2 linked regions of the Styela clava genome follow. The protein of the gene in region 1 interacts with the protein of each later gene in a pairwise test. Links are inferred from orthologs where the notes say so. Each region holds a gene or a part of one and is shown in the gene's direction. Other genes may lie near its edges. The genes, in order: 5'-3' exoribonuclease 2-like and TAR DNA-binding protein 43-like.

Region 1 (10,346 bases):
GATGAACCAATGTGAGGGTACTTAGACTCCCGTGCATGCTTCTGGAAGGTCTCAGTAACCGTTTCTGAAGGATATTTTGGAACATCAGATCGTGTCTTAATCACATTTACATCCCGAGAGTTGATTACAAACTCATTCAGCTGCTCCTTCAATGCCTGATTTTCATCCTGTAATCCACCATTATTTGACTTCAAAGTGACAATTTCTTGTTTGAGTGAAGTAACTTCTTCGGTCCATCTCTTGCTTGAAGTTCCATGAGTTTGCTTCAGTTCCTGATACATTTGTTTATATTTGCGATATTTGGAGCGATGAAACTGCATGCTCTCTTCCATTTTGTCGAGCCTGACTTTCAATTTGCTTGCCTGTGCCTGTTCTTCTGCATCTGGATCAGCAATTGCCATGAACAACTGTTCAAGTTTGGACATGAAATTTCCACCAGTTTCATCACCGGCCTCATTAGCTTGACCAGACAATTCTCCACTTCCCACAGAAGTCTGTGGGGCATTTTTCTGAATCAGACCATCTTGGGAATCACTAGATGCCGAATCTGGCTTTGCAGCCTTTGCTGGTGTTTTCTGTCCATGGATTTTTTTCATTTTCTTTTCCAGCTTATGACATTCCATATACTTTTCTGTATAAGCAGTAGCCCCCATTGAGAGACGCGTTCGAAGATCCTCAATCTGCATTTTCAATTCTTCGATGGTTCTATCTTTCGCGAGCAGATCATCATCTTTTTGTGAACTGGACACAGGGCTTTTTGGTTCAGTATTAGTTCCGCCAAGGGTCTGTGTACTGATTTCCAATTTGTCATTATCCGCCGAGGCAGCAGTGGCCACAGCCATGTCTGCACTTTCCAAATGTGACTTTAAGATTGATATCTCCTCTTTCAAGTTTTCCTCCATTTGTTTAGCTTTTAATTTCTCATCTGTGATGTTGCACATACTCTCTGCCAACTTCTGTTCAGCATCTTCTGCTTTCTCCTTCATGTCATAGAAATTATTTTCAAATTCATTGAGTTGTCTTTGTGTCGATTCCAGTTGTCGAGTCACATTGTCCCGTTCTTGTTTCACTTGGTGAAGTTCTGACATTAATTTGTCTCTGCAATCACGAGCTTCAGTCAACTCTGTGGAAATGAGACGTTTTGAAGCTTCACATGCATTTAGCTTATCTTCAATATTACCAAGCTCACTTTCAGCTGTAGATTTTTGAAGAACGGAAAGTTTGTTGGATTCTTTCAACTCATTTCGTAGCATTTTAGCTTTTTCTTCGAGTGCCAATAACTTCTGATTTTTCTCAATGATTTCTTCATTTTTGGCTTGAATTTCGTTTTTCAATTTTGCCATGTTCTGCATGATATCACGTCGAGCTTCTTCAGAATGTGCGAACTGATCTTTAAATAAATCTCTTTCTTCCTTATATCTGACAGCCTTCAACTCAGCCTCCTCCTGCTCTTTTTTAATTTTATCCATAGACTCTTGAGCTTGTGTGTTTGATTGCGAATTTTTCTGCTGCAAATCATCCGATTTGAGCTCTAATTTCCGCAATTTTTCCTTCATTTCTTGCATCAAACCATCAGATTCAACAAGTTTTTGATCTTTAGAATGAATTTGCTCATTCAGTGATGAAATTTCTTCCTTGTGACTCGTATAAGCCTTTTCGAGATTTTCTTTCATTCCCAATGTTTCTTTTGTCAGTTTCGCAATTGCAAATGCAGCGCCATCCAGTTCAGCCTTTTGTTTTGCCAGTTTTACGTTTGCTTGTTCAATTTCTGAATTCAAAGTTTTCAGTGATTCCTTCAAATTGTCAATCTCCTCTTCTAGTTTTTTACAATGTTTTTCTTGATCCTCATTAGCTTTCTTTGACGATGCCAATTCATCTTGAACTTTAGCCAAATCGCTCAACAATGCTTCTTTCTCATTTGTCAACTCATTGATTTTGCCTTCCAACTTTTCTTTCTGGGATGTTATGCGTTCAACTTGCTCCTGTAGAGCAGCCGTCTTTGTTTTTAGGACAATCATACCAGTTTCATCCTCAACTTCCACAAGCTGATCTCCATCTGTCAAATTGCGAAATTGAAAAGGGGTACTGGCACCATGAATGTTTCCTTGCTTTGATACATAGCAAAACTGATAAAACTCATTTTCATCATTAGGCAAGTAATAAGCTGTGAACTCAACAGTTACGCTTCTGTCTTTTGCATCGTTTGACAATTTTGGAGCCCACACGAATGTGCAATATTCTCTTGCAGTTGTCCATCCAACTTTGAAAAGTCCAATCCAATCTCTTGAAGATGGCTCAAGAGAAGACGCGAGGACGTAGCTGACACAAACATTTTTGCCAGGAGGAAAATAGTCTGAAATATCAGGAAATACCACCTGGGAAAAGCTGCTTGAAATGTCCTTTGAAACAGCAGAGTCTGGTATATGTGGCACATCAGATGACATTTCATCACATGTTGCCATCGCAATATGTAAAACTAAATATGGTCAAATCTGGTAAAAAAAAAACACAAGAATTTTTTTAATTAAATTCAACAAAATGAGTATCTTTTCCCTGTATTAACACTTTCAAACTTTAGAATGTTGAATTCAAAACAAATTCAAAATCAATCAAAAATAGAATCAATAATCTTAATTTTACTGTCTTAACAGGTTAATGAGAAGGTAAACAAGATTCCTAATTCTGACAATTGAATACAGAAATAAAAGTCTTGATATATTTCACAGTTTAAATGCACGAAAAATCTTTTATTTGCTCATACAGCTTGTTTATCTATTTCAGTACTGGTATTTCAGAAGAATGGTTGACTACGATAAAAATCGTATAAATGGATCAAAATATGCAGTGATATGAATCCCCAAGTAAAATGCTATGCTAAATAATATGGTAATTAGTTTAGCAAACAATTTTCTTGAAAACTTCAAACATGCTCATCAATTGGACTACTGGAATATAACATAAGTAATTGTACTGTACTATTTGGGCGTTTCCTCTTCCCCGGGACAAAAATGTCAATCCTATCCTGAACTCCATTCAGCCAGTGACAGAGTGATATCACGGATAACTCACAAATATGTCGGGCATATAATGATGTTTTTTTTTCAGAAATATTTGAGAATATAATCTTTATGTTTTTCTCCACATTACGTACTCTGCTATCAGGCTATCAACAACATTCGCCTCACAATATTGAAACCTACCTGTACTACAGTCAGACACTACCATAGCAGGTAAAGTTGAAAGTATACCAATACAGCAATACTGTAATCATGTTTCAACCAGAATACTGCAATAATAATCTCTGTCTGTCTGTATCCACAGATCCAGATACTGAGATAGCTGCCAAATCAAATTGCTTGCCTCATTTCAATGACAAAATACCGGTATAGAACTGTGGATTTATCCTAACCGAAAGCAAACGTGCGGTACGGTAGGTACCGCATGCTGGTATGGTACCGGTACCGGTACTAATGGGAAATTCTGACAGACTGAAGTAATTTCCCTCACGAGAAAATTAATTTAAAAAAATATTTATTGCCATTGCAAAATTTGAATTAGGCCTAGCGGCGAGTACCGGTAAACACAGAAACACAAAAACAGCATTTGCATCAACAAAATTAAATGTATAACGTTAAATGTGCAACAACAGAACACAAGGACGAAAGTAGTCTGGTGATGACTCTGACAACACAATTTCCACTGACATAACGCCTACCCTAGCAATGAGGTCGTGGGGGAAAGAACTAAGATAATAACCAGCTAATCCTCATCAGCGATCCTCTAAAATTAAACCCAGAGTAGCACCGGGTATGCCCCCGAGGACGCCAGTATGGCGCAAGAAGAAGGTAAAAACAAAAACACGAATCATGTGACCAAGTTCTTTTATTTACATACGTCTGTCCTTCTCTTTGTTGTTCACGTGACGTCATTCAAATGTAATGTACGGAGTCGCTATCCGATAAAATTTGGACGTTTCGTTCAAAGCAATATTTTAGGACAATGTGGGATTTTGATATTCATCCCGATCGATAGGGAAGACGGTTTAATCATATGGCGGATCAAGGTTACCCTGTTACCAGTCTGAGGCTGGATTTCAAATTTGCCAAGATTGGCTGACGCCTGGCGGGCATCTATATTCTATTTTGAAACCTTATTCATTTTTAAATCGATTCTTAATTGTAAAGTCGTTCCAAAATAAAACGGTATACCTGATATTTGTTTAATTTTGTAATTGAGTTGATAATTTGGTAATATTTCGTATTTCTCCGAACCTTTTTTATCGCGAATTCGTTTATTTAAAAAGATGATATGTAAATTTCATTTATCAGTAATCGGGTCATACTCCCCGCCCCTCCACATCTTCCGACTAAAATTATGTTTTGCGTGTTATTTGTCAGTTTTCAGTTGTGTTTCCAAAAATTAGTTGTAAATCAATTAACTTGATTATCATTATGTTTTTCAAGAACCTTTAGTTTAGGTGGCGCGGCGGTGTGGCTTAACGGGCTAAGCGTTAGGAATACGCTCGCCACCGCACCTCTAATTACTCTGCGTGGGTACGCAGGTTCGAACCCCATGCAGGGATGGTTATGTGAGAGAGGATTGCTGGACTCCTCGCCGTCGTTGGGTGGTTCACGTAACCGCTGGTCGGTTACGGCTTCCTCCACCACCAAGTCCATGCTTCCGAAAACGAACAATATAACTAATCCCATACCCGACTTGGAATGGTAACCGGACGAGGGGCCGTGGTTCGCCATATGGATAAGCCGTCTTATCGGTTTTCCTCTCCCCGGGGATAAATATGTAAATCCTAAGGTGCAATAATTAAAAATTGATACCGCAAACCAATGAGCAACTGCGAAAGACTAGCCTGAAATTAGCTATCAGGTCCGGTCATCCGGCACCGTACGGTACCTGTGAGCAGCACTTGGTTTAATGTTTTAAATAAAAATGATAGATAACTAACTCCCCAAAACTATAAAACACTCAAAATAAGCGTTTAAAATTTTGTAGTGGTCGAGTATAAGAATAATTTTTTTAGAGGTCAAGGGTCGGGGAAACCGACCATATGATAACTATTGAAAAATGAATTGCTTTCTTTATGCTGAAAATGTACATACCTTACATTTATTTGGACTTCTCCATATTGTAAAATGTATTTTCAGCTAGGTGCTTATTAGCATGTAAGAAGGTACCGATAGTGAATCTTGTCGACTTATCTTCACCCAGGAAAAATATATAATTATATAATTTAATATGGTGTGGCAAGTAATTTTTATTTATTTATTTTTTATTAACTACCAGTATGTAATTTTTCATGTTCCCTTTACTTAATAACTTCTATATGGTTGTGTGTGTGGGTGCGTGTGAGCGTGTGTGAAATATTTCAATTATTTTAGGTGAGTGAACACGTACCACATGTTCTTGGCAAAACCTTCCATCTTATATACATTCTGTACGTTTTAAACCTTATCTAAGGTTTTGTTCGCTCTCCTGATTTCATAATCAGTTTTTATTTATTTATTTTTAGCATTCATTTTATTGTTTTGCTGATTATGGAGTCGAAATAAACTTATACTTATATAAATCCTATCCCCATTTAAATTAACAGATTTTTAAAAGTTCCGAGCTAATTCAATAATTACGGTACAACTGCAGTGAGTGTTCAAGTGTTGGGTACGGTAATTGCGTAATTTGTCAAATGGGTGTTCCAGCATTCTTTCGATGGTTGAGTAAAAAGTATTCCTCAATCATCGTTCATTGCAATGAAGAGAAGGTGAATAAGTTTGAATAGGCCTAGGCTATTTATTTTCTATAAAAACACGTGAAAGTTTCGATTAATAGTGTATACCTTGTACTGTTATAACATTTTGTCCACTCTGGCAGACTGGGGTGTACTGCTGTAATACAGTAATATAAGCATTGTCATAAAATTAGCCGATATGAATTAAAATACTGCAGTACTGGAAGTACTGTAAGTACTGCTGTTGGCGCGGCGATGTGGCTCAACGGGCTAAGCGTTAGGAATACGCTAGCCACCACACCTCTAATTACTCTGCGTGGGTTCGCAGGTTCGAATCCCATGCAGGGATGGTTATGTGCGAGAGGATTGCTGGACTCCTCGCCGTCGTTGGGTGGTTCACGGAACCGCTGGTCGGTTACGGCTTCCTCCACCACCAAGTCCATGCTTCCGAAAACAAACAATACAGTAAAAACTAATCCCATACCCGACTTGAAATGGTAACCGGACGAGAGGCCGTGGTTCGCCATATGGATAAGCCGTCTTATCGGCTTTCCTCTCCCCCGGGATAAATATGTAAATCCTATCCTATCCTAATACAGTAATATAAGCATTGTCATAAAATTAGCCCATATGAATTAAAATACTGCAGTACTGCCTGATGAGGACTTTGTTTTTTTGATTAAATATATTTTCAGAAAAAAGAAATCAATGGAGTGGAAATTCCTGTTGACACAAGTTCACCAAACCCGAATGATGTAGAATTTGACAACTTATATCTTGATATGAATGGAATCATACATCCGTGCAGTCATCCAGAAGATCGGTAATCTTTAACAATGATAATCTGAATAAAAAATATTTTTGAGTTTTATAATTAATAATATTTTTATTTTTATAAGTTCTGTAAGTCAAATTTTGGCATATACTTGGTCAACATTGTGGGATGGGTTTTTTAAGTAGGTACGAGTTGTCAAATTTCTTGTACGTCTGATACTGATATTTATTATAAATTTATGAAGACATTGTTTTTCTTTAGTATTAATTTTCTCTTTGTCCATTCTCTGAAATATACTCGTATACAATATATTTACATTTTTATTTAATAGTTGTTACTTTACATTTAATCAACATAATGTCAATTATTATTTATATTTCCGATCTGATATGTGCATGTAACCAGTATTCAATTATTTTCAGACCGGCACCCAAAAATGAAGTTGAGATTATGTTTGCTATTTTTGATGCAATTGACAGAATATTTGGTATTGTTCGACCGAGACGTTTGTTATATATGGCTATTGATGGTGTTGTAAGTTTTAGTTTAATTTAAATCAATACGTATTGTAAACAGCCTACTGGTTGTCTACTGGTACCATATGTAAAACTAGCACTTTTTTTATTTCTATGTATATCATGGATGCTGTGCCCAAATGACTGGTTATATAAAATCGAGTCAAAAGCCTTAATGACTCCATTGGTCCTTCATACTTACATTTCAATATTTTTCAAGGGTACATGAATTTGCTTCGAAAAATATATATTAATAACAAACAAATAGCAATTGTATCTCTACCTCGAGGCGAGAAATAATTTTTTCCTACTGATTTGTCAAAATTTGGGTATGGTCTTTCGTAAAATAGAATTGTCTCCTGATTGGTTATGTAGGTAACTAAATACCACACAATTCTAATCATCTAGGCACCTCGGGCAAAAATGAATCAACAAAGGTCGAGAAGATTCAGAGCTTCCAAAGAATCAGCGTGAGTAATTCAAATTAGTATGACATTTAAAGGCAGTTGTTTTCATCTTTTGTTGATTTTAAGAGGGCGTTCATGGGCACATTTTAGGTGGTTGCTTATATAGTGCTATGATTTAACCCTTATTAGTGAACAGAATTACCATTTCTCAACAAAAATGGGTGGAATGAAACAAGACACGAAGTGAAATCTCTTTATGTGACATGGATATTTTTTTCAATTATCGGTAATATTCATTTTTTCATGATTCCTTGTAACATTTTTCTGAAGTGAAGCCAAAGATTTGAAAGAAGAAATAATTTCTGAATTGAAAGAAAGAGGAGCAACACTTCCAGAAGATGACCCCAAAAAAGAAAGATTTGATAGTAATTGTATTACTCCTGTAAGTATATGCTTCATCTATTTAAAATCCGCTTGTCGATATAGAAGAAATTCTTTTATGCACTCATATATTAATCTTTAGACACAAATAAAACCTGTAATATACAAAACTCATTTCTTAAGGTATATCGTGTGTTTGAAATTAATTCAGCCCAAAAGGGTGGACTTCTTGTCTCACAACATTAAAATGCTTTTCACACACTTGATGTAAATTATTCCACCATATGCATGAAGACCAACGACTGCGACTGTGAAACTCAATGCGTTCTAAAATTTATACTTTGTTTTTATCCTCGTTTTTATTTTTTTACGTAAAAATATAATGGGGGATTGAAATATTTTCAGGGTACAGAATTTATGTTTCGTCTTGCTGCCTGTCTACGATTCTACATTCAAGATAGAATTAACAATGATCCTGGTTGGAAAAACATAGAAGTAAATATTTTTGAATCAGCAAAATGTTATTACAGAAATTTAAAATATTGTCCTGTAAATAAGCTTTTCCTGATAGTATGGTAGTTGTTTAACCACTGTTTCAAACTATTATAATTTCATGAAAAATCATGAATTTTTTAACAAAACAAACAGGAATTTTTGACAAATTTTAAATAAGTTGGCAGGGCTTAAAAAGTTTGACGACCACTGTTCTAAATTGATAAATTTGTAATTTCGAAACTCACATGGAAACCTTCATATGGCAAAATATTATGTCTTGTTATTTAACAACATTCATATTGAAATTTCAGGTTATTTTATCTGATGCAAATGTACCAGGTGAAGGTGAACATAAAATAATGGATTTTATTCGACGACAAAGAGGACGAGAGTCTCATGATCCCAACACACATCACTGCATTTGTGGTGCTGATGCCGATTTGATTATGTTAGGTACGTTTGGGAAAATTAACATTGTATAACACCATTACTGATATCTTAGCTATCCTTTTCAAAGATTTTGCTGCATTATTTTTAAAAATTCAAAAGTAGATTGTTCAAATTTCAAAGAAATTTTTTTAATTTTTTGTGGTTACATACTCATTTAGAGCATATTACATTCTTTGATTTTGAATGCTCAGTATTGCACTTTATCTTCCGGTAAATGATAAGCAGTGATGGCGTTAAGCTCTCAACCGAATTACTGTCCCAAATACACCCTGAAACAGTTCAATCAGGTAACATCAATAATTATTCAGTTTATCAAAATCCACCATAATAGGAGTTAGCTTTAACAATGTTATCGTAGTGAGGCGTATACAAATAATTATACATATGGCATGTGTGATATGATTTGAAATTTAAAGCTTTCTTGCCTGTGAGGAATGGAGAATTGAAAACATATTTGGCTATTCTATTTAATTTTAACATCACTGGTGCTTCTCTGCATTATGAGATAGTCTCACTTGTTCAGATTAAGATTTATAAAATCAAAACTTGTGTAAAATATAAAAAATTTTGACTGTGTAAGTACTGTGAAATTATACGGGTATATTTGATTTCATATGTGTTCTATTATTTATCTGTTTCAAATTCTAATAGCAACACTTTTTGGACATTACCAGATTAAAATAGTGGTCTCAGCTGGATTTAATGCTTGAATAATTATCCAATTGCAGGTCTTGCTACACATGAACCATATTTCACAATTATTCGTGAAGAATTCAAACCTAACCAACCAAGACCTTGTGGAATTTGTTCTCAATATGGACACGAAATGGAAGATTGTTGTGGACTTCCCAGAGAAAAGCAAGGAGAACATGATGAATTACAAAAAACTCCAGTCGTCACTACAGATTATATTTTTATCCGATTAAACGTTGTACGAGAGGTATGAAATCTTGTCACTTGATAGCCATCAATGACATGAATAAAAACCATCAGTTACACTGGTATAAGTAATGATTTTTAGCAGCCATTGGACCATCAAAAGATAAGGAGTTCGAATATAACATTTTAGCGCTCCAGAATCCTCGAATTTTCCAATTTCCATATTTTCACAGATGTCTATATATTCAATTTTCACATTGCATACATGTATTTATTTTTATCTTTTCATTCCAAAGAAAATTTTACAAATGGCTTCTGATATGTATCATAAACTATTTTCGGAAGGTCGAACGTGGTTTGAACCCAAATATTACAAAAACATATTATTGTGTATTTTGAACAGTTGTCAACTGCTCTCATAAATTGTGGTTTTGCCAGCATTTCTTTGGACTCTATAAATGTATTTTTATATTATAGTATCTGGCGAGAGAGATGGCGATGCCTGGACTCCCATTCAAGTTTGATTTAGAAAATGTTTTAGATGATTGGGTTATGATGTGCTTCTTTGTTGGTAATGATTTTCTACCTCATTTACCATCGCTTGAAATCAGAGAAGGTGCAATCGATAAACTAGTGCGTCTATACAAGGACATTGTACATAGAACTGGGGTAATTTTTTTTTATTATTTTCAATTTTTGTGCTG
Region 2 (9,897 bases), on another chromosome or scaffold:
AGTGGACCTGGGGATCGTTTTGTTATTTTAAAATGTTTTAAAATACGAATATATATGTGCAACAGGTATCTGTTGACCGGATGATCGGAGACGTTTCCAAGTTTTTTCTCTTGTTCTTGGTTATTTGGTTTGCGTTTTCAAGTGGGATCAACACCCTCTACTGGAGGTACAGCGGTCAGTCGGACGGATTTCACAATTGCACCATGGACAAAAATAACAAGGTATGGAGACATGTCGTATAGTTGTATTTGATTTTATTTGTTATATATCCAATGAGATTTATATTGAGTTGGTAAAAGTTTCTTCTTACATCTAGTTTTAACGAATGTAACAGTTTCATTTTGTTCGCAGAGCAGCAAAGAAGACATACATTGCTGTTTTTCGGAGGAAGGCACTCAGAAATTCACCACTATCGTCAGTTCTTTGCAAGTTTGCTTCTGGTCAATATTTGGATACAGCGATGATTACAACAGGTACAAAACATTGTATACAAATTTAATTTCCAGACAGTATTCCTAATGCACATTTTCTGTAGATAGCACAGGCTCAGCAGTTGCTAATATAAATGGGTATATTAAATAACATCTTTTAATAACTTTTTTAAAAGTTAATCCAAAAGTACTTTTTTTATCACCTTGTGGGAACGGGATATTTTACAGAGTTCCATACCAAAGAGGTATTATACGCCCAGTCATGTCATTCAATATAGCCTTAATAATTCAGGTTGAAAAGAGTTTATGTTACAAAACATTTGATCACGAAGTGAGACACATATTTTGATTTCTTTTTTCTCAAGGTGGTTCAATTTAACGTGCGCAGATGAATCAGCAAAAAAAGAAATTACTGCAGTATTTGGAGAAACTGTTTTTGCTTTATATCATATCGGAACCGTTCTTATCCTGGTTAATATGTTGATCGCCATTATGAGTGGAACGCTGCAGAAAACGATAGACGATAGCGATATTCAATGGCAGTTTCATCGCACGAGGGTAAAACTTTAAAAGAAGTAGATTTGTTGATTCAGTGAATCGCGAAATTTTAATGACGTTGTCGTTTTTTTACTCCTAATCTTTGCTTATTTATTGCTTATTACTTTACCATCTTTAAAAAAAAATTAACTATTTACTAATTAAAAAATTTACTTCAAAAAAAAATTATTTACTATTATTTGAACGTATGTGGTTTGCAAAACCCACGTGGCACCATGGTTGTTTTGATTTCAAAATACTGAAATAATTTACAAACTGCATGGCATAAAAATAGACATTTTGCAGGTATGGATTCGTTTCATTAGGACAGGATTCTACCGACCTCCACCGATGAACTTGATTCCAAGACCGAAGGAGTTTGTCTATCTCGGCTCGTTCATAATAAAAGGCTTCCGAAAGCTTTGTAGGTATGTCTTTATTCCTAATAGGCTTACAATTTTAATCGTAATACTAATGATGATGCTTCAAAATTCGACGATGTGCCTCAGATTATCTTCGAAAATTTTTGAGGAAATATCTGAAAGAAAAAGTTTCTGTCATTGAAAAAAAAAAATGATAATATTATATGATTACTTATTAATGGTTGCAGTGATGTCCCTACTAGAGATGTACCGATGTATCGGGTATCGGAATCGACAATATCTGCCAATTTTTCGGTATCGGCTAAATTTAGACCGATATTTCCGATATATATTCAGCTTCTCCATATTATCCAAGGTGTTTTAAAAAAATAGGTTAGAATACTGATGTTTAAATTATTTTTTGCTTGGATAGATCGTGAACTATGAGCCATGTACGTCCCCCCCGGATTTTCCGATGTGTAAAATATAAAATACAACGTTATATTGGCACAAAATCCCGCGCACGTAACTCAATGTATCAGTTTCATATACGATAAGCAGGCTAAACATTTATGCATTTTACCACCAACAGTATAGCGAAATTCTATTAGTTTTCTAATTGGACACCAAGATTACTAGTGCCAGTGCTCAATGCTTTGAATCAATCAACGCATTTGGATCCCAAACATCAATTTCTATATATATATATATATATATATGATATTTCTCTTATTTGATCCAAAATTATGTGCACTATTAATGATGCTCGAAGACTATTGTTTTAACTCGTCTGCCCTACACACTTAAGTAATAATTACATAGAATCGGAATATCGGTATCGGCAATATCGGCCTTTCCAAATATCGACGCATTGATATCGGTATCGGCGTTTTTAGCTGATATCGGATCGGTATCGACGACAAAAATGGTATCGGTACATCTCGAGTCCCTGCATCCCTCCAACAGGTGGTGCACAAGGGTTGCTCCGCCATCAAAGTCCACAAATTTGCAACAAATAACTGTGTTGAAAGGGGTATGAAAAGTAAAACTGAGAGTGTGTCAATAACATACATACAACATCACTCCACAAAATGATGCCATGGTGAGTTTTTGATGTACCATTATGTCCCAAACTTTTATTTATGTCGGCATTTTTGCAATTTCTTAGGTGTATTCTGTGCAGAAGTACAGAAGATGTTAGCAGACATCCTGAACGGGCATATCAAGCGAATATACCAATGAATCAATACGGAAGACGAAACGACGCTAAGGCGCATCACAAAGCAGGAATGCTACAGAAAAATGGCAGTCCAGAGTCTCGTGCAAGTGGAGAAGGATACAAAGAGCATTGGTCACCTGGTAGTGCAGCGACAGAAGAAAAGTATTCTCGCTATGACGTCACCCTTAGGAAATGCGTCAGAAGATACCTAAAAGCGAATGGAGTTCATCCAGATGATCAACAAACAGCAAATATATGAGGCGGTACAACCATTCTATTTGCGCCTATTTCCACTAATCATGTACTTTTGAAGGTCATGATGATGAGACTGAATACACATCACGGTGGGAGTCGGGACATGTTGACACCACAGCTTTCAACAAAGGAGTAAAGCAAATTTGCGAGACGAAGCGTTTGACCGCCCGTCACGTACAAGCACTAAAAGAAAAGTAACGGGCAAAAAGATAAATTTCGAACGAAAAGAGTATATAAATATATTGGCTCTAATCTTAGTCCTAATTCCAAAATGGAATTTATTCTCACTGGACAGCTTATTTACTATATTAGGAATTCCATGTTTTCCTATTATCAGATTTCCAGTGTATAATAATATTTTTGTATTTCGTTAGCATTTGTAAAAATGAACTTATCTGTAATTGATTTCTATCTTTGTTGCACTGTTTTTTTTCACTTCTTGTCATATAAATGAGTGGAGTATATTTATAAATAAATTGGGTTTATTAATTTTTGGGGTACTCCCGAAGTATGTGAACCAAGATGGCGGACACCGGAACGTAGTATGTGAACCAGGCCATAATTTTATTCCAATTTTCCTTATTTTAGTTCTATTACGAGTTTGGGGACTAGCCAAGTGACTTCCGTAGTATTTGTACCGGAAATTATGGTCTAACCCTAACCTGGTACACATACGACGTACCGGTGTCCGCCATCTTGCTTCACATGCTACGGGAGTACCGATTTATACTTGAGTATATTGCCTTTCTCCCATTTTCTTTGTAGCTACGAGCTATTGTCAAATACACCAGTCAACAAATGAAATTTTAAGTCTTGCCATCTCCAAGGTCCGTTGCATACTCTAAACATGGCCTGTTTCTGAAAAATGTTAACATTTTCGTGGGATTGCAATCTAGCTAAAAGCTATTGGTTTGCTTTATTATAACTTACAAGCCTATTTTTACTAAATGTTTTCCTTGTCCACAGTAGCCACATATTATGTATACAAAATAAACAATCAATGACGGTAAAACCTTATGTAGCAGACCCTGCGTTGCTTTCATAATTTTGCACTTTTTGACTGAGATCAGAACGATCGTTTTGTCAACAAATTTTCTGCGCTATTCAACGTCTCAGGATTTACTTTGCCATCTTATACTGTATCTTTGTTTCCTTGATATTTTATGGGTTCTGTCGCCTATGTTAACCAGCATGATTTTGTTGTTTTTCTTTGAGATTGCACTTTTAATAAAAATATCTACTGAAGTTTCATATTGTCGAGATTACGTCCAAGAAAACATACATTAGTTGTGTTGTAGAAATGTGTTTCCAATGGTAGTTGTTGATGAAAAAAAGGCTAGGTTTTAGGTTTTGCGAATGTAGGATAATGAATATCACGTAAATAATGACCAAACTATCTTGGACGGCACGAGAAGGTTTTTTTGTTTTATCTTACATTTCATTTCATGACGTATGATCGTTGACCCTATCAAAAAACAACCATTTTCAGTATTAGAATTATCCTACCAATGCTGAAAGTGGTTGGGTAACGGTATTAGCAGAGAGTGTTTGTAAAAAGTTCGTCAACCTTATGCGCTTTTTCGGGAACTATGGTTACTGACGCCAGTGGATGGACTAACCTGGCAATCTCCTGCTCCCAAATTTCCGCTGTAATTCTACTTTCTTCTGAATCCACAAAAAAATTGCGATTGCATACCAAGCAAGGTATACAAAAAAAGTTGTCGATGTTGTGATGTCGTTGTTGGTAATGTTAAAAATGCATTTGGCAGCTGTTGCACAAAAAGTTAAGACGACTGACAGTAATGGTTGACAAGTAATGGTCACTTAGAATGAAGTTTGAATGATATAAACTGTTGTTGTTGTACCAAATATGAATATTTCGAATGTATCTGTTCAAGTCTTTTAATCAATGTCAAGAAATTTTAAAATGATTTATCATATTTTAAACACCTTCCTATTTTCTATGCGTATATTACGCCGGTAAAAATAAAAGCGGTCAGTTAGCAAGTCACAATTACAAATATGGTCAAAATAATTTTGATAGCAATCATTGAGATTATTTATAGTAGTAGCCAGAAGGTAGCGTCCACTGAGTAAAAACCTACGGTATATTTCTCAATGGACCTTTCCCCGACCTTTGACCCCCAAAAAATTCTTCTTATACTTTACCATTGCAAAATTTCCAGGCTATTTTAAGAGTACTTTTGTGAGTTGGCGCCTGTAAAATGAGGTATGTGTTTTGAACCATCATTATGATTGATCGCATACAACAATCTGTTTTTTAAAAGTACAGGTAAATAATTTTAGCCTAGTCTATCACAGCTATTTCCACACTGATTTTTAATTACTGCAATTAAAAAATTAAAACTTCTAGGAAAAGAGAGTGATCATTGAAATATCTGATTTATATTTAAGTTTCCGAAACACAACTGAAAACTAACGAATAGAGTTCAAAAACGCGAAAACGAGGTAATGTTTACGACCACGCTTGGAAATCGGTCTGAGTGAGAAAGGGGTCTGAGCGGATGCGAAAAGGGAGCATTGTTACGTCACTTTTTGCATTTTGCTGATTGGCCAATGTCACGAAGTAAACAAGGAATACGATGCTCGGGGAAAGGTTCCATCCGATCACCCAAAAAATTAGCAGGTAATAGGAATGCTCAATACTGACACCACATGGCGCCGACGAGTTTTTCGTCTCTTTTCAGTGGAATTGTTGAAATTGAGACTCTTCAGAGACAGAGAAACGCGAGTTCTGGAATTAGTGAAAGTGTACTGTTTTGCCTTAAGAATCTCGCAGTGTTCGAGGCCGCGAAATACTTAACAAGCATGTCTGTCTCACAAAGGAATTACAACATAAAGCAGGAAATATATATACGAATAGCTGATGACGAAAATGAGGAGGCTATAGAAATTCCAGGAGAATCAGATGGCACCATGCTATTGTCCAGCGTTACAGGTAAAAGATAAAAATACCCGTAATGCCGTTATTTAAAAAGATAAAGCAGTAGCTACTGGATAAATATTTTGTTAAGTACGGTACTCAATTCAGTAGGAAATCACTGACCGATAAATGGGCACAAACGCTTGCAGCGTTCGCTTTAAACTTTTCTCTAGGTTTTGCTCATTTTCCCGATCTTTTCGTTGCCCTTGTCTTTGTTTTTTATTTTGTGTTCAGTATTTTCATGTTGTAGACGGAAGATGAAAAAAAATAAAAACATATAATATGTGCACAAAGTGCTGAAGTGACTAACTTTTAAGCCTGTCAGCCTTAATTCTGTAATTACTCAATTACATTAATGAAATCACGGTACCGGTACGGTACCGTACAGGTAACACTAAACTCAACTCGGGTCTCGTGTAGTTTTGTGCCTAATCTAGTCTACTTCTGTACTTCTAGTGGGTGTATCATAATAATTTTTTCACATGTCAATCCTAACTCCCATCTGACTACACCATCCAAAACCATCGATACAACAGTGTTTTCCAAATTTGTCTCTTTTTATTTAACTTGCTGTTTTTCTCTATTTTTCAGCCCAATTTGCTGGGGCATGCGGTCTCAAGTATAGAAATGCTGACACTCAAACAATGAGGGGAGTGCGATTGGTTGAAGGTACATTTCATCCACCAGATGGTTCGTGGGGATCACAACTTTATATTGTTGTTTATCCAAAAGGTAAATTAATAGAAAAGGAATTCAGTATTCTGTGTAGTACCAAGACTGATAACTAACTTGTGCTATAAATTTTTCTGTTAAAATTACTACTTACTGAATCATGCATTGAACTGCTAGCCATGGGGTTCAAGAAGATAATTAATATTTTCATTGCTTACCTTTTTTTGGTCCTATTTGACAGCCCGTAGCATGTATATTGTCACTAGAACATTGCTAGAAATACAATTATGCAAGCCATTTAATATGATATAGGAAAAGTTGGTAGTATACTGTTTTATGTTATATTGATATAGTTTCAATTTTCAGTTGTTTGCATGTTCAATCAATACTATACTATTCTGGTTGGCAAGACCTGATTTATTGCACAAAATACACCCCTTTGCTCTTATTTCAATTACCAATGCCATGTTGGTTTCACTTTTTAGACATCTTGTTCAATTTTCCAATACACAATAATTTTTGTGAAAATTTCCTTCAATTTGGCAGATAATAAACGAAAGATGGATGACACTGAAAGTCAAGGAATCCGCAGTAAAAGGCCGGCACAAAAATGCTCGGACCTAATTGTTATGGGATTACCTTGGGAAACATCTGTCAACGATTTGAAACAATATTTTGGACAATTTGGTGAATTAGTTTTGGCACAAGTGGGTATTTTTTCAGTAAAATTTTTGTTTTGAGTGTATGATGTGCTATGTACATATATTAGTATATTTCATATAGGTACTGCTGATGCTTGTATATTTCTATTTGTATGATGTTTTTGTACTGCAGATTATCTGTTTATATTTTGCGATTGATTATTTTGTTTCGGTATATGAGTGCTATTATGAGTCCTAATGAAATATTTGCAGTATTTTTTTTCAGAATATTTTTTTACAGAAAATGTGTGTCTTTTTTGTTTTGTAACTAGGATATAGTTGCATTTCTGAAGTATTTTTAACATTTTGGTAAATTGCTTTATTCTAACTGGGCATTGTGTGATGAAGACATTGTTTGTAGGTTAGTTTGTATGGAAGAGTCAGAAATATGTTTTTGCTGGATTGATATAACAGTATATGAGGCAATTTGATTTGCTAAATTGACTGAAGATATGATTAGAGTTGAACATTATTTGAATCGGTTCAGCAGAAAATGTTGTATCCCCGTCATCTTTTTTATTTTATTTGGCCACACAAAGGTCGAGGTGGATTCCTCAGTTTTTGTCTTGAAGCTATAGTTTTATGATGTAATTTGGACATATGACTCTTTTCTTTTTTGTGAGATATTGATGAAACATTTTTCTCATTGTGTGTGAACTTTCAGCAAAATGTCTGAGTGATGGATTTCATGTTTTCAGTAATTTATGTGTTTGGAGGACCCATCACAATAAAAAGTCACATACATTCATATATCTTCCAAGTTCCGAATATTCAAGAAAATATTCGTTTGTATCTGAAATCATCACGAAAATGCCCATCCCTGGATATGATTGATCATCACAAGACTTTTTCAGCATTCATGTTGTGATAACAAACAATGAAATTTATGAGTAAAATATAGAACGGATGCCAGTTAGTGTAGCCTATATCTGAAGCAACCAGAAGTGTGCCCTGTATGATGATCATTCAAAAGTTGTTTGTAGAAATTTGAGCCATCTTTCTCATAACAAAATTTTCATTCTCCAACTTGAGAGTTTTATGGGATTGCCTGGGATCTTGACTGCACCTGATTTTTTTGAATAGCATTTATCATAGAATACCAAAGCCTATTTTCACATCAAATTTTGGGTGTATGTCTGGGGTATCACATGATAAATGGTATCGATTGTCCTGGGATTGCTGTGTTGTAAAATATGAAGTGAGATGTCAGTTATACAATTGATTGAAGAGTTGTTTGGACTTGATCATTGTAGTTGTTATCGACTGAAGCTTATTGAATGTCTGGTGAAATGATCAACAATCAGATCATTATGAATGAGGTATGGTGTATAATTTTTTGTGATTCAGTTATATTTTGATAATTATGTCAATAAAACCTTAATGATCTTCTGGTAAATAAATTATTGGTTGATGTAACATGTAATGAAAGAACTCATGTTCAAACATATCCACCACTTAGTCATGATGTGATAAAATTGTGTCTTATAATAGAGGCAAATACTTGGTTATATTTAAACAATATACATGTATTAAAATATACTTGGGGACTTGAATGGGAACTTGTGGAACCCCTGGACTGTACTAGCGCAGCACTAGAGTCCGCGGAACCCTGGTTGAAAATCACTGTTCTAGGACATAGTAGCTTCTTGTTAAAAGTTGAATCTCGTCAAAAATAACCGAGTTAATACAAGATGAAGAAATGATTTTCATGTTATTTTTTTTAATTATTGAAGTGTATTTTTATATTTTCAGGTACTGTTTAACTAAATCAGCCGTAAATCTAGCTCTTACTTGTAATGCCAAAATGTAATAAACATCAGCCAATAATTATTATATTTTTTTCAGGTTTAAAGATGGAAGAAGATCAAATTACCTGTCAAGAACAGTGGAATTTTTGACTGACAAATTTGTCATTTTGTCTTTTTATCCCTTAGAAAAAAAATGTATTTCAAAACACTGATTCATTCTATTGTTTTTATTGCTATTGAAGTTAAAATTTCATCATTTTCTTATTTTTTTTTATCACTCTATGACAAATTTTCTACCTATCTCATGGTGAAGGATTCGTCCATTTTAAATTAACAGGTGTACATATCAATATATTATGGGTTTGATCAATTTGTTAGACTGAATTGATCACATGTAATTAAACATGCATTATGCTTGTCAAAATACATGATCATTTCGAATATAAAATCTGTTCAGATAAATCAATCAGGATTCTATGCAACGAGGATGATTTTCAATTGAGTTCAAAGCATATTTCTAAAATTATTGCATTGTTATCCACAAATTACAGATGTTCAGAATTTAAATTAGATGAAAAACATGAATCATGATTTTATCACACTAATTAGAGTTTTAATATCTAAGCAGTTGCTTTTTGTAGTCCAATATTGTTCTCTACTTTTCATTTTCATCATCTTAGATTAGTCTAATCAGGCAGAAAAATTTGATCATCAACACGCTATCCAATTCATTACCTCGTATATGTTCTTTGATCGTCTATGATCATTTATTTGGGAATAACACTCTGCCATGATTTCATAGGGTTTTAGTAGCTCATAGAATTTTAGTGGTCCTCCATAAATTTGCTTATAGATGAGTCTCTGTTACTTTAGAGTGTGTGAGCATCACATTGCTTTAAAAAAATTTTTATAAAAAAGGGTAATGCTGGTGGTCAAACAAAGTGAGAAAATTACTGCCTCAATTATAATATATTCAATTTGAATTTCAAAAAACATACCTAAATTATTATAAATTAAATTTGGGGCAG

Evidence for each region.
Region 2: the proteins of 5'-3' exoribonuclease 2-like (region 1) and TAR DNA-binding protein 43-like interact in binary tests that used the Homo sapiens proteins (3 or more experiments, as listed by UniProt). The link is inferred for Styela clava from reciprocal best matches to the Homo sapiens genes XRN2 and TARDBP.

Annotation. Positions count from the first base shown.
Region 1 is NC_135251.1:27,215,953-27,226,298, forward strand, and holds the start of 5'-3' exoribonuclease 2-like, read left to right. Parts: upstream 1-5,608; 5' UTR 5,609-5,698; coding exon 5,699-5,773; intron 5,774-6,435; coding exon 6,436-6,563; intron 6,564-6,937; coding exon 6,938-7,049; intron 7,050-7,438; coding exon 7,439-7,500; intron 7,501-7,767; coding exon 7,768-7,879; intron 7,880-8,223; coding exon 8,224-8,313; intron 8,314-8,624; coding exon 8,625-8,766; intron 8,767-9,491; coding exon 9,492-9,703; intron 9,704-10,119; coding exon 10,120-10,311; intron 10,312-10,346. Other genes in the region: uncharacterized protein LOC120336859, read right to left, coding at 1-2,462. UniProt on the Homo sapiens protein: Possesses 5'->3' exoribonuclease activity. May promote the termination of transcription by RNA polymerase II.
Region 2 is NC_135253.1:15,479,174-15,489,070, reverse strand, and holds the start of TAR DNA-binding protein 43-like, read left to right. Parts: upstream 1-5,501; 5' UTR 5,502-5,633; coding exon 5,634-5,763; intron 5,764-6,339; coding exon 6,340-6,480; intron 6,481-6,966; coding exon 6,967-7,127; intron 7,128-9,897. Other genes in the region: short transient receptor potential channel 5-like, read left to right, coding at 66-221, 352-473, 797-989, 1,275-1,396, 2,499-2,808. UniProt on the Homo sapiens protein: RNA-binding protein that is involved in various steps of RNA biogenesis and processing.